Saccharomyces cerevisiae S288C: one gene and its partner. The protein of the gene in region 2 interacts with the protein of the main gene of each other region in a pairwise test. Each region holds a gene or a part of one and is shown on either strand. Other genes may lie near its edges.

Region 1 (6,546 bases), on a different chromosome or scaffold from region 2:
AGGAACCTTAGCTAAAAGATAGAAAAAAAGAGCACTACAAAAATCTTATCCTCGATTTGAAATACTAATGTCGAGCCAGATCAAATTAAATGAAATCGAAATGATATAACGTTGCTCTTGCACGTGTATTTCGCTGCTTAGGAAAGTTGTTTCCACATATTATCTTTTGTACGATTTTAAACAGTAAAATCGATGCATATTAAGGGAGGCCCAATACCCGCGGGCAGTAACCGCATCTTTGGAAATACCGGGTAATAATAAATGCCCGGGAAAAAAGAGCATAAAACAGAGAGGCGATATAGGAATGAATATGTGCTATTTACGGAAGGGAAAAACACTTATTGTTTTTCTGAAATGTGACACAGTAAAGTCCGTCATATACGGTTCTCCGTTGGGCGCTACCACACACATATATATAAGCCTGAATGCAGTAGACAAATTTCAGATATCATACAAAGGAAGCGTTCTCTGGGACCCCTTTCTATGTTTAGATGGTTCACTGAACTTGTTCGTTAACGTAAATATGTCTTCCTCTTTGATTCCAACAATGATATTATAAGGAAATTATCGTCACAATCTAATCAACAAGGACAAAGAAAAGAAAAAGTTGAGAGAGAGAACAAAAGTTCAAATCAAAGAAAAAAAAGAACATCAAATTACCTATTACAATAAACAATTAAGCCATACTCGCAACAATTTGCCATAATAGAAAGCAGCACCTCGTTGGCGCAGTCCCTTACATAGTACACAACATTTATCACTTCACACAATCAGGAGTGGAACTCAATGGAAAACAACACCACACGTATGATCTTACTAATAAAAGAACATGAACGTTCCTCAGCGCGAACGTTCGCATTCTGCGCCTTCGAGCACAGGATAAGTTGCAGGAAGCCATCACATCTATGCAACGATTATCACGACACAACCTTGCCGCCGAGAAAACGTCCGTGGAGAACCATTCGGTCGATTGCTTCCCACGGAACGAGTGGACTGAAACTTAAGACTGCCCCTCTCTTTCCGCGGAATCGCTCATGCCGCGGTGCCACAACATTTTCAGATTTACTAAGACTCCGGTGAGTGTGGGCTCACCCGCGGGTCGTGATCACGATTCAGCACCCTTTGGACTCGTGATTCCGTGGAAAGGTCAGATCTGTATTCCTACTTATGGTAATGTGCTAAAAAAAGAGAAATGTCTCCGCGGAACTCTTCTACGCCGTGGTACGATATCTGTTGAACGTAATCTGAGCAATACAAACAAGGCCTCTCCTATACATATATAATTGTGATGTGCATAACCTTATGGCTGTTCGCTTTTATTATCATACCTTAGAATGAAATCCAAAAGAAAAAAGTCACGCAAAGTTGCAAACATATAACAACTGTGTTAGTTATCACTCGACTTTGTTATTCTAATTATAAATAAATTGGCAACTAGGAACTTTCGAAAAAGAAATTAAAGACCCTTTTAAGTTTTCGTATCCGCTCGTTCGAAAGACTTTAGACAAAAATGCCCGAGGCCAAGCTTAACAATAACGTCAACGACGTTACTAGCTACTCCTCCGCGTCTTCTTCTACTGAAAACGCTGCTGATCTACACAATTATAATGGGTTCGATGAGCATACAGAAGCTCGAATCCAAAAACTGGCAAGGACTCTGACCGCACAGAGTATGCAAAACTCCACTCAATCGGCACCCAACAAAAGTGATGCTCAGTCTATATTTTCTAGCGGTGTGGAAGGTGTAAACCCGATATTCTCTGATCCTGAAGCTCCAGGCTATGACCCAAAATTGGACCCCAACTCCGAAAATTTTTCTAGTGCCGCCTGGGTTAAGAATATGGCTCACCTAAGTGCGGCAGACCCTGACTTTTATAAGCCTTATTCCTTAGGTTGCGCTTGGAAGAACTTAAGTGCTTCTGGTGCTTCCGCAGATGTCGCCTATCAGTCAACTGTGGTTAATATTCCATACAAAATCCTAAAAAGTGGGCTGAGAAAGTTTCAACGTTCTAAAGAAACCAATACTTTCCAAATCTTGAAACCAATGGATGGTTGCCTAAACCCAGGTGAATTGCTAGTCGTTTTAGGTAGACCAGGCTCTGGCTGTACTACTTTATTAAAATCCATCTCTTCAAATACTCATGGTTTTGATCTTGGTGCAGATACTAAAATTTCTTACAGCGGCTACTCAGGTGATGATATTAAGAAACATTTTCGTGGTGAAGTTGTTTACAACGCAGAAGCTGATGTACATCTGCCTCATTTAACAGTCTTCGAAACTTTGGTTACAGTAGCGAGGTTGAAAACCCCACAGAACCGTATCAAGGGTGTCGATAGGGAAAGTTATGCGAATCATTTGGCGGAAGTAGCAATGGCAACGTACGGTTTATCGCATACAAGGAATACAAAAGTTGGTAACGACATCGTCAGAGGTGTTTCCGGTGGTGAAAGGAAGCGTGTCTCCATTGCTGAAGTCTCCATCTGTGGATCCAAATTTCAATGCTGGGATAATGCTACAAGGGGTTTGGATTCCGCTACCGCTTTGGAATTTATTCGTGCCTTAAAGACTCAAGCTGATATTTCCAATACATCTGCCACAGTGGCCATCTATCAATGTTCTCAAGATGCGTACGACTTGTTCAATAAAGTCTGTGTTTTGGATGATGGTTATCAGATCTACTATGGCCCCGCCGATAAGGCCAAGAAGTACTTTGAAGATATGGGGTATGTTTGTCCAAGCAGACAAACCACCGCAGATTTTTTGACCTCAGTTACAAGTCCCTCTGAGAGAACCCTGAACAAAGATATGCTAAAAAAAGGTATTCATATACCACAGACCCCGAAGGAAATGAACGATTACTGGGTAAAATCTCCAAATTACAAAGAGCTAATGAAAGAAGTCGACCAACGATTATTGAATGACGATGAAGCAAGCCGTGAAGCTATTAAGGAAGCCCACATTGCTAAGCAGTCCAAGAGAGCAAGACCTTCCTCTCCTTATACTGTCAGCTACATGATGCAAGTTAAATACCTATTAATCAGAAATATGTGGAGACTGCGAAATAATATCGGGTTTACATTATTTATGATTTTGGGTAACTGTAGTATGGCTTTAATCTTGGGTTCAATGTTTTTCAAGATCATGAAAAAGGGTGATACTTCTACATTCTATTTCCGTGGTTCTGCTATGTTTTTTGCAATTCTATTCAATGCATTTTCTTCTCTGTTAGAAATCTTTTCGTTATATGAGGCCAGACCAATCACTGAAAAACATAGAACATATTCGTTATACCATCCAAGTGCTGACGCTTTTGCATCAGTTCTATCAGAAATACCCTCAAAGTTAATCATCGCTGTTTGCTTCAATATAATCTTCTATTTCTTAGTAGACTTTAGAAGAAATGGTGGTGTATTCTTTTTCTACTTATTAATAAACATTGTCGCGGTTTTCTCCATGTCTCACTTGTTTAGATGTGTTGGTTCCTTAACAAAGACATTGTCAGAAGCTATGGTTCCCGCTTCTATGTTATTGTTGGCTCTATCCATGTATACCGGTTTTGCTATTCCTAAGAAGAAGATCCTACGTTGGTCTAAATGGATTTGGTATATCAATCCGTTGGCTTACTTATTCGAATCTTTGTTAATTAACGAGTTTCATGGTATAAAATTCCCCTGCGCTGAATATGTTCCTCGTGGTCCTGCGTATGCAAACATTTCTAGTACAGAATCTGTTTGTACCGTGGTTGGAGCTGTTCCAGGCCAAGACTATGTTCTGGGTGATGATTTCATTAGAGGAACTTATCAATACTACCACAAAGACAAATGGCGTGGTTTCGGTATTGGTATGGCTTATGTCGTCTTCTTTTTCTTTGTCTATCTATTCTTATGTGAATACAACGAGGGTGCTAAACAAAAAGGTGAAATATTAGTTTTCCCACGCAGTATAGTTAAAAGAATGAAGAAAAGAGGTGTACTAACTGAAAAGAATGCAAATGACCCCGAAAACGTTGGGGAACGTAGTGACTTATCCAGCGATAGGAAAATGCTACAAGAAAGCTCTGAAGAGGAATCCGATACTTACGGAGAAATTGGTTTATCCAAGTCAGAGGCTATATTTCACTGGAGAAACCTTTGTTACGAAGTTCAGATTAAGGCCGAAACAAGACGTATTTTGAACAATGTTGATGGTTGGGTTAAACCAGGTACTTTAACAGCTTTAATGGGTGCTTCAGGTGCTGGTAAAACCACACTTCTGGATTGTTTGGCCGAAAGGGTTACCATGGGTGTTATAACTGGTGATATCTTGGTCAATGGTATTCCCCGTGATAAATCTTTCCCAAGATCCATTGGTTATTGTCAGCAACAAGATTTGCATTTGAAAACTGCCACTGTGAGGGAGTCATTGAGATTTTCTGCTTACCTACGTCAACCAGCTGAAGTTTCCATTGAAGAAAAGAACAGATATGTTGAAGAAGTTATTAAAATTCTTGAAATGGAAAAATATGCTGATGCTGTTGTTGGTGTTGCTGGTGAAGGTTTAAACGTTGAACAAAGAAAAAGATTAACCATTGGTGTTGAATTAACTGCCAAACCAAAACTGTTGGTCTTTTTAGATGAACCTACTTCTGGTTTGGATTCTCAAACTGCTTGGTCTATTTGTCAGCTAATGAAAAAGTTGGCAAATCATGGTCAAGCAATTCTATGTACTATTCACCAACCCTCTGCTATTTTGATGCAAGAATTCGATCGTTTACTATTTATGCAACGTGGTGGTAAGACTGTCTACTTTGGCGACTTGGGCGAAGGTTGTAAAACTATGATCGATTATTTTGAAAGCCATGGTGCTCATAAATGCCCTGCTGACGCCAACCCAGCTGAATGGATGCTAGAAGTTGTTGGTGCAGCTCCAGGCTCTCATGCAAATCAAGATTATTACGAAGTTTGGAGGAATTCTGAAGAGTACAGGGCCGTTCAATCTGAATTAGATTGGATGGAAAGAGAATTACCAAAGAAAGGTTCGATAACTGCAGCTGAGGACAAACACGAATTTTCACAATCAATTATTTATCAAACAAAATTGGTCAGTATTCGTCTATTCCAGCAATATTGGAGATCTCCAGATTATTTATGGTCGAAGTTTATTTTAACTATTTTCAATCAATTGTTCATCGGTTTCACTTTCTTCAAAGCAGGAACCTCGCTACAGGGTTTACAAAATCAAATGTTGGCTGTGTTCATGTTTACGGTTATTTTCAATCCTATTCTACAACAATACCTACCATCTTTTGTCCAGCAAAGAGATTTGTATGAGGCCAGGGAACGCCCCTCAAGGACTTTTTCTTGGATTTCATTTATCTTCGCTCAAATATTCGTGGAAGTTCCATGGAATATATTGGCAGGTACTATTGCTTATTTTATCTACTATTATCCAATTGGATTTTACTCCAACGCGTCTGCAGCTGGCCAGTTGCATGAAAGGGGTGCTTTATTTTGGTTGTTCTCTTGTGCTTTCTACGTTTATGTTGGTTCTATGGGTCTGCTTGTCATTTCATTCAACCAAGTTGCAGAAAGTGCAGCTAACTTAGCCTCTTTGTTGTTTACAATGTCTTTGTCTTTTTGTGGTGTTATGACTACCCCAAGTGCCATGCCTAGATTTTGGATATTCATGTACAGGGTTTCACCTTTGACTTATTTCATTCAGGCTCTGTTGGCTGTTGGTGTTGCTAACGTAGACGTCAAATGCGCTGATTACGAATTGCTAGAATTCACACCACCATCCGGTATGACATGTGGGCAGTACATGGAACCATATTTACAACTAGCAAAGACTGGTTACTTAACTGATGAAAATGCCACTGACACCTGTAGTTTCTGTCAAATATCTACAACCAATGATTACTTAGCTAATGTCAATTCTTTCTACAGTGAGAGATGGAGAAATTATGGTATCTTCATCTGTTATATTGCATTCAATTATATCGCTGGTGTCTTTTTCTACTGGTTAGCAAGAGTGCCTAAAAAGAACGGTAAACTCTCCAAGAAATAATAGAATTTTGAATTTGGTTAAGAAAAGAAACTTACCAAGATGGACTTTTTTAATAAACATACATAATCACTACATATAGGTGCGTAATAATAAGTTTTTATTTTTTTTTTCTTAATTCAGCGAGCTTTCTACATTTCAATTTTCTTGAATTTACCAGCTCTGATAAATCAAAGTTCAATGTCCGAAAGAATTCCGAGAATTTTATTCCTAGGTTATCTCATCGGTACTTTTTTTTTATAGGCATCAGCATTTAGTGTGAAAACATTATTTCTTAACTGTGCCTTACGGTTAAAAAGAAAGGACGCAATGGATATAGTTAAAATATAAGATATATTATATCATTATCTGTCCGAATGGCGAACCGTCTTCTCATATACGGCCTTATTTTGTGGGTAAGTATAATCGGATCTTTTGCATTAGATAGGAACAAAACTGCTCAAAATGCGAAGATTGGTCTACATGATACCACTGTGATCACGACTGGAAGTACAACGAACGTG
Region 2 (7,712 bases):
TTTTCTATATATAATATACGCAAACAAGATTCGCTTTCACTTTGCAATTTTACTTCATAGCTTTGTTAAAACCAGCAAAAAATATTATTTTTCTAGAAAAAAGAATATATTAGAGGTAAAGAAAGAATGTCGGAACTTGAAAACGCTCATCAAGGCCCCTTGGAAGGGTCTGCTACTGTGAGCACAAATTCTAACTCATACAACGAGAAGTCAGGAAACTCGACTGCTCCTGGTACCGCCGGTTACAACGATAATTTGGCACAAGCTAAACCCGTCTCAAGTTACATTTCCCATGAAGGCCCTCCCAAAGACGAACTGGAAGAGCTTCAGAAGGAGGTTGACAAACAACTAGAGAAGAAATCGAAGTCGGATTTACTATTTGTATCCGTCTGCTGTTTGATGGTTGCTTTTGGTGGGTTCGTGTTTGGGTGGGATACTGGTACTATATCTGGTTTTGTCAGGCAAACAGACTTCATTAGGCGATTTGGCAGCACCCGTGCAAACGGGACTACCTATCTTTCCGATGTCAGAACCGGTTTGATGGTTTCTATTTTCAACATCGGCTGCGCTATCGGAGGTATAGTTTTGTCAAAGCTCGGTGATATGTATGGACGTAAGATTGGTCTGATGACTGTTGTCGTCATTTACTCAATTGGGATCATCATCCAAATCGCCTCCATTGACAAATGGTATCAATATTTCATTGGAAGAATCATCTCAGGACTGGGCGTTGGTGGTATTACAGTTTTGGCGCCTATGCTAATTTCTGAAGTGTCGCCTAAGCAGTTGCGTGGTACTCTGGTTTCATGTTACCAATTAATGATCACTTTCGGTATCTTTTTGGGATATTGTACTAATTTTGGTACCAAGAATTACTCAAACTCTGTCCAATGGAGGGTACCATTAGGCTTATGCTTTGCATGGTCTATTTTTATGATTGTTGGTATGACGTTCGTTCCTGAATCCCCACGTTATCTGGTAGAAGTGGGAAAAATTGAAGAGGCCAAGCGGTCCTTAGCAAGAGCTAACAAAACCACTGAAGACTCTCCTTTAGTAACTTTAGAAATGGAGAACTATCAGTCTTCTATTGAAGCTGAGAGATTGGCGGGCTCTGCTTCTTGGGGGGAATTGGTTACTGGTAAGCCCCAGATGTTCAGACGTACACTAATGGGTATGATGATTCAATCTTTACAACAGCTGACAGGTGACAATTACTTCTTTTACTATGGTACTACAATTTTCCAGGCTGTTGGTTTGGAAGATTCATTTGAAACTGCTATTGTTTTGGGTGTTGTTAATTTTGTTTCGACTTTTTTCTCGCTATATACCGTCGATCGTTTTGGTCGTCGTAATTGTTTGTTATGGGGCTGTGTAGGTATGATTTGTTGCTATGTCGTCTATGCCTCTGTTGGTGTTACCAGATTATGGCCAAACGGTCAAGATCAACCATCTTCAAAGGGTGCTGGTAACTGTATGATTGTTTTCGCATGTTTCTACATTTTCTGTTTCGCTACCACTTGGGCCCCCGTTGCCTATGTCCTTATCTCTGAGTCGTATCCCTTAAGAGTACGTGGTAAAGCAATGTCGATTGCAAGTGCCTGTAACTGGATTTGGGGGTTCTTGATCAGTTTTTTCACTCCATTTATTACTTCAGCAATCAATTTCTATTATGGCTATGTCTTTATGGGTTGTATGGTGTTCGCATACTTTTATGTGTTCTTCTTTGTTCCAGAGACAAAGGGCTTAACATTAGAAGAAGTCAACGAAATGTATGAAGAAAATGTGCTACCTTGGAAGTCTACCAAATGGATCCCACCATCTAGGAGAACAACAGATTATGACCTAGACGCTACTAGAAATGATCCGAGACCATTTTATAAAAGGATGTTCACTAAAGAAAAATAATCTCTTGTAGTGTAGGATCAACTATTTTCGCATACTTGCAATGTTCAGCATTGCACCATTTCAAATTTTAATATTAATATTAATCGTTTTCGTTCATATGTTCATTCATAGTTTACAAATAATGCAATCATATGCAGAGATATTTTGTCCGTGGTTAATAGGGCTGCCTGTTATTCCTTTAATTCAACTAAATTACGTATGTCTAATAATATCAAAATCATCATGACGTTTTTGTTTTTTTTCTTTATTTTAAGTAGGATCAAACCAGGGGAGAAAGGGTTGCTACGCCTAACAACAAGAACTTGTATATCGTTTCTTGTTACTTATACTTTTCTGCCCACTTCTCTCTTACAACTGCTCGAGCTCATCCTTGGTAATAAAACAGTGAGGACGGTTACTCGAGGTTTCAACAGGGGAAAATAAATTTATATGATGAATCAAGAGCCCCGTTCTTTTACCGTATTATCCTTCATACTACATACTAGGGAAAGAACTGAAAACTCCGCTACCTGCTGTAACAGCGCATAATAAAAAGCAAGAATATAGACAGTTACTGTTGTTTACGTTCTTTGATGACATCATTCTCATCAGACATACAGAAACACATCCTTTTTGTCTACCCCGTATTTATTCCAACTTCAAAGTATAGGTACCGTCCGGTTATACTCTCATATACTTTGTGGCAGTTTGCTTCTTTAAACCTTGTTAACCCAGAATATTTTCAGTGCAAAAAGCTTCCGATCCTCAAATACAGTGAGAGAAAAAGCAAACTTGTCTTCATTATTTTTCTGTTTGGCCCTGTCACGGTTCTTTTTATGGCCTTCTCGAAGGATATCCGTAGTCAATTATATTCACGTAGTTGCCAAAAGTAATTTTTGGAAAACTATTATTCCTCCGAGAAAACCTCACACAGAAATCCTTGCAGGTCTCATCTGGAATATAATTCCCCCCTCCTGAAGCAAATTTTTCCTTTGAGCCGGAATTTTTGATATTCCGAGTTCTTTTTTTCCATTCGCGGAGGTTATTCCATTCCTAAACGAGTGGCCACAATGAAACTTCAATTCATATCGACCGACTATTTTTCTCCGAACCAAAAAAATAGCAGGGCGAGATTGGAGCTGCGGAAAAAAGAGGAAAAAATTTTTTCGTAGTTTTCTTGTGCAAATTAGGGTGTAAGGTTTCTAGGGCTTATTGGTTCAAGCAGAAGAGACAACAATTGTAGGTCCTAAATTCAAGGCGGATGTAAGGAGTATTGGTTTCGAAAGTTTTTCCGAAGCGGCATGGCAGGGACTACTTGCGCATGCGCTCGGATTATCTTCATTTTTGCTTGCAAAAACGTAGAATCATGGTAAATTACATGAAGAATTCTCTTTTTTTTTTTTTTTTTTTTTTTTTTACCTCTAAAGAGTGTTGACCAACTGAAAAAACCCTTCTTCAAGAGAGTTAAACTAAGACTAACCATCATAACTTCCAAGGAATTAATCGATATCTTGCACTCCTGATTTTTCTTCAAAGAGACAGCGCAAAGGATTATGACACTGTTGCATTGAGTCAAAAGTTTTTCCGAAGTGACCCAGTGCTCTTTTTTTTTTTCCGTGAAGGACTGACAAATATGCGCACAAGATCCAATACGTAATGGAAATTCGGAAAAACTAGGAAGAAATGCTGCAGGGCATTGCCGTGCCGATCTTTTGTCTTTCAGATATATGAGAAAAAGAATATTCATCAAGTGCTGATAGAAGAATACCACTCATATGACGTGGGCAGAAGACAGCAAACGTAAACATGAGCTGCTGCGACATTTGATGGCTTTTATCCGACAAGCCAGGAAACTCCACCATTATCTAATGTAGCAAAATATTTCTTAACACCCGAAGTTGCGTGTCCCCCTCACGTTTTTAATCATTTGAATTAGTATATTGAAATTATATATAAAGGCAACAATGTCCCCATAATCAATTCCATCTGGGGTCTCATGTTCTTTCCCCACCTTAAAATCTATAAAGATATCATAATCGTCAACTAGTTGATATACGTAAAATCATGAATTCAACTCCCGATCTAATATCTCCTCAGAAATCCAATTCATCCAACTCATATGAATTGGAATCTGGTCGTTCAAAGGCCATGAATACTCCAGAAGGTAAAAATGAAAGTTTTCACGACAACTTAAGTGAAAGTCAAGTGCAACCCGCCGTTGCCCCTCCAAACACCGGAAAAGGTGTCTACGTAACGGTTTCTATCTGTTGTGTTATGGTTGCTTTCGGTGGTTTCATATTTGGATGGGATACTGGTACCATTTCTGGTTTTGTTGCTCAAACTGATTTTCTAAGAAGATTTGGTATGAAGCACCACGACGGTAGTCATTACTTGTCCAAGGTGAGAACTGGTTTAATTGTCTCTATTTTTAACATTGGTTGTGCCATTGGTGGTATCGTCTTAGCCAAGCTAGGTGATATGTATGGTCGTAGAATCGGTTTGATTGTCGTTGTAGTAATCTACACTATCGGTATCATTATTCAAATAGCCTCGATCAACAAGTGGTACCAATATTTCATTGGTAGAATTATCTCTGGTTTAGGTGTCGGTGGTATCACAGTTTTATCTCCCATGCTAATATCTGAGGTCGCCCCCAGTGAAATGAGAGGCACCTTGGTTTCATGTTACCAAGTCATGATTACTTTAGGTATTTTCTTAGGTTACTGTACCAATTTTGGTACCAAGAATTACTCAAACTCTGTCCAATGGAGAGTTCCATTAGGTTTGTGTTTCGCCTGGGCCTTATTTATGATTGGTGGTATGATGTTTGTTCCTGAATCTCCACGTTATTTGGTTGAAGCTGGCAGAATCGACGAAGCCAGGGCTTCTTTAGCTAAAGTTAACAAATGCCCACCTGACCATCCATACATTCAATATGAGTTGGAAACTATCGAAGCCAGTGTCGAAGAAATGAGAGCCGCTGGTACTGCATCTTGGGGCGAATTATTCACTGGTAAACCAGCCATGTTTCAACGTACTATGATGGGTATCATGATTCAATCTCTACAACAATTAACTGGTGATAACTATTTCTTCTACTACGGTACCATTGTTTTCCAGGCTGTCGGTTTAAGTGACTCTTTTGAAACTTCTATTGTCTTTGGTGTCGTCAACTTCTTCTCCACTTGTTGTTCTCTGTACACCGTTGACCGTTTTGGCCGTCGTAACTGTTTGATGTGGGGTGCTGTCGGTATGGTCTGCTGTTATGTTGTCTATGCCTCTGTTGGTGTTACCAGATTATGGCCAAACGGTCAAGATCAACCATCTTCAAAGGGTGCTGGTAACTGTATGATTGTTTTCGCATGTTTCTACATTTTCTGTTTCGCTACTACCTGGGCCCCAATTGCTTACGTTGTTATTTCAGAATGTTTCCCATTAAGAGTCAAATCCAAGTGTATGTCTATTGCCAGTGCTGCTAACTGGATCTGGGGTTTCTTGATTAGTTTCTTCACCCCATTTATTACTGGTGCCATCAACTTCTACTACGGTTACGTTTTCATGGGCTGTATGGTTTTCGCTTACTTTTACGTCTTTTTCTTCGTTCCAGAAACTAAAGGTTTATCATTAGAAGAAGTTAATGATATGTACGCCGAAGGTGTTCTACCATGGAAATCAGCTTCCTGGGTTCCAGTATCCAAGAGAGGCGCTGACTACAACGCTGATGACCTAATGCATGATGACCAACCATTTTACAAGAGTTTGTTTAGCAGGAAATAAACTAAACAAGCTCAATATGCATATTTTAATGACTTATACAGTATTTAATTTCTCAGTAAATTTTATAAAGGTGATATTATATTGGTGTTAAAACAAAATTCTTGTCAAATTCATAAACAGATGTTCTTTTCTTTGCTAGTTCTTGACCTTCACCAAGGAACAAGAAATTTCATTCTGGCACTCTTCCGAGGAAAAATTTTATATGATATAGTATGGGTTAATACCACATAGGCGCTATACATAGTTCAAACGCCCGCTTATGATTTCGGAAAAATGTCAAATGAATAGAAATTGACAACGCTGCTGCTTCAACATCTAGTAGTGTTACTTAAGCCTGTTAGGATGTTGTTTTTAGGTATTTATAATTACTAGCAATAATTTCCATTAACAGATAACCGAGTCGATCTCAATGGATATACAGTTGCCAATCATATGTATTTTCTGACTGGCACAGGGAGACACGAAAAACACTTGCTTGATAAGAGGTGAAGCAGTAAAGAAAAGACGACAAGTAAAAAAAAAATGACGAGAAAATGCACGCTACCATCGAAAAGGCGACCTTTCCAATCCACTAAGAGTTACTTTAAAATCGTTGAAAAAGCATTATGACACTATGTTTGGCGCCAATAAGAATACTACGTCATTATGCATGGAGGAGAACCGAATATTTTTTTTTTATTCCAGCCCTCTTCATGTAAATGTTCTGATTGATAAAAGAATGAAAAGCCCTAGGGTTATTAAATCCAAAACTTAGGCTGCCAACCTGACATTGTAGACAAGACACGACAGCGGTAAGAGAAGATCTGAACAGCTGACGCAAGTACCCCAGATATTTTCCAACTTTTACGGGAAAAAAGACTAATAGGAAGGAGGTGGGGAATCATGCTTTAGTTTCAACTTTGAGGTTTAGCTTTCAGACACGAAAACTAGAAGGAACATTATGTTGTTTCACTTTCATTTTGGAACAGAACTACGCTACCGCATCAATTTGCGGGAATTTTGATTTGGCAACGCGCACGTATTTTCTAGCGATGCGTAAAAGTAAAACAGTCAAGATAGTCTCATCCTAGATGGTGCAAAGTTAGGACCGAAAAGCCAGGTTCAACGATGTTGCCAAATAGTCGTACCTGAAAAGCTTAGGTTTTCCATTTATGCGAATATCTCTATGCAAAATAAATTTTAAGTACCTCAAAATTTTTTTGCACCGATCAAGATATAATAATCAGATGAGAATGAATAAACAAGACGCAGATGAAGGCTGGGCCTCCAACGAAACCCAGTACACTGCAGTAATTTCCACCAAGAAACGCTTGGCCTTCGTAAAGTCACTTGCAGCAGCATAGCGGAAACAAGGAAGAAAAATATCCGAGTCAGCTGGTTCCGGGATTTTTTTTTGCCCAATAGGAAAAACAATGCCCAAACCGGAACCATTTCCCGTTTTTTCTTTCGGTTTATCCGCTTTCTTCCAAAAAAATCCGTACAAAATGGAAAAACAATGTTTATATAATATTCCACATTTTTCCTGGCCTGCGTCTCTTTCTGTGGAGAAGAAGATATTTCCCTGAGCAGTTTTTTTTTCTGACCCCTTTTTTTTTCCCACCCCCCCCGGTTTTTTTTCCATGGGGCCCCATATTCCCCCGCCTGCAGGAAAACTTGGGGAAAGAGGAAAAACACTTCGGATAAAAACGGTCAAGAAGCTCTTCGACGATTTAGTGCCACCTTCATGAAAAATTCCAGAGTTTTTTCCAGCTGCTTTGATTTTACAGTCCATTATTCGGCGTCTAACGATTCTGATTAAGAAACAACGGAGGAAAACTCAAATTCTAATATAATATTTTTAAGTTTATGAAGGTGGGGTGGTAAGAAAAGCAACTAAAATAATCTTCAAGTCAATTAGTGGTGAAAAGCTTCAACACTGGGGAATGAATAATATGTCATCTAGAAAAAATTTTATATAAATACTCAGTGTTTTATTCATTATTCTCGATTCATTCACTTCAATTCCTCTTCATGAGTAATAGAAACCATAAAGAAAAGATATATTCAAAGCC

The links. Proteins that work in one complex are often made in the same cells at the same time.
Region 1: the proteins of HXT1 (region 2) and PDR5 interact in binary tests that used the Saccharomyces cerevisiae proteins (3 or more experiments, as listed by UniProt).

What each region holds. Positions count from the first base shown.
Region 1 is NC_001147.6:618,330-624,875, forward strand, and holds PDR5 (ATP-binding cassette multidrug transporter PDR5), read left to right. Parts: upstream 1-1,510; coding exon 1,511-6,046; downstream 6,047-6,546. Other genes in the region: SLP1 (Slp1p), read left to right, coding at 6,400-6,546. UniProt on the Saccharomyces cerevisiae protein: Active efflux of weakly charged organic compounds of 90 cubic Angstroms to 300 cubic Angstroms surface volume.
Region 2 is NC_001140.6:288,862-296,573, reverse strand, and holds HXT1 (hexose transporter HXT1), read left to right. Parts: upstream 1-3,948; coding exon 3,949-5,661; downstream 5,662-7,712. Other genes in the region: hexose transporter HXT5, read left to right, coding at 127-1,905; AHT1 (Aht1p), read right to left, coding at 6,884-7,432. UniProt on the Saccharomyces cerevisiae protein: Low-affinity glucose transporter. HXT1 is as well involved in the transport of mannose.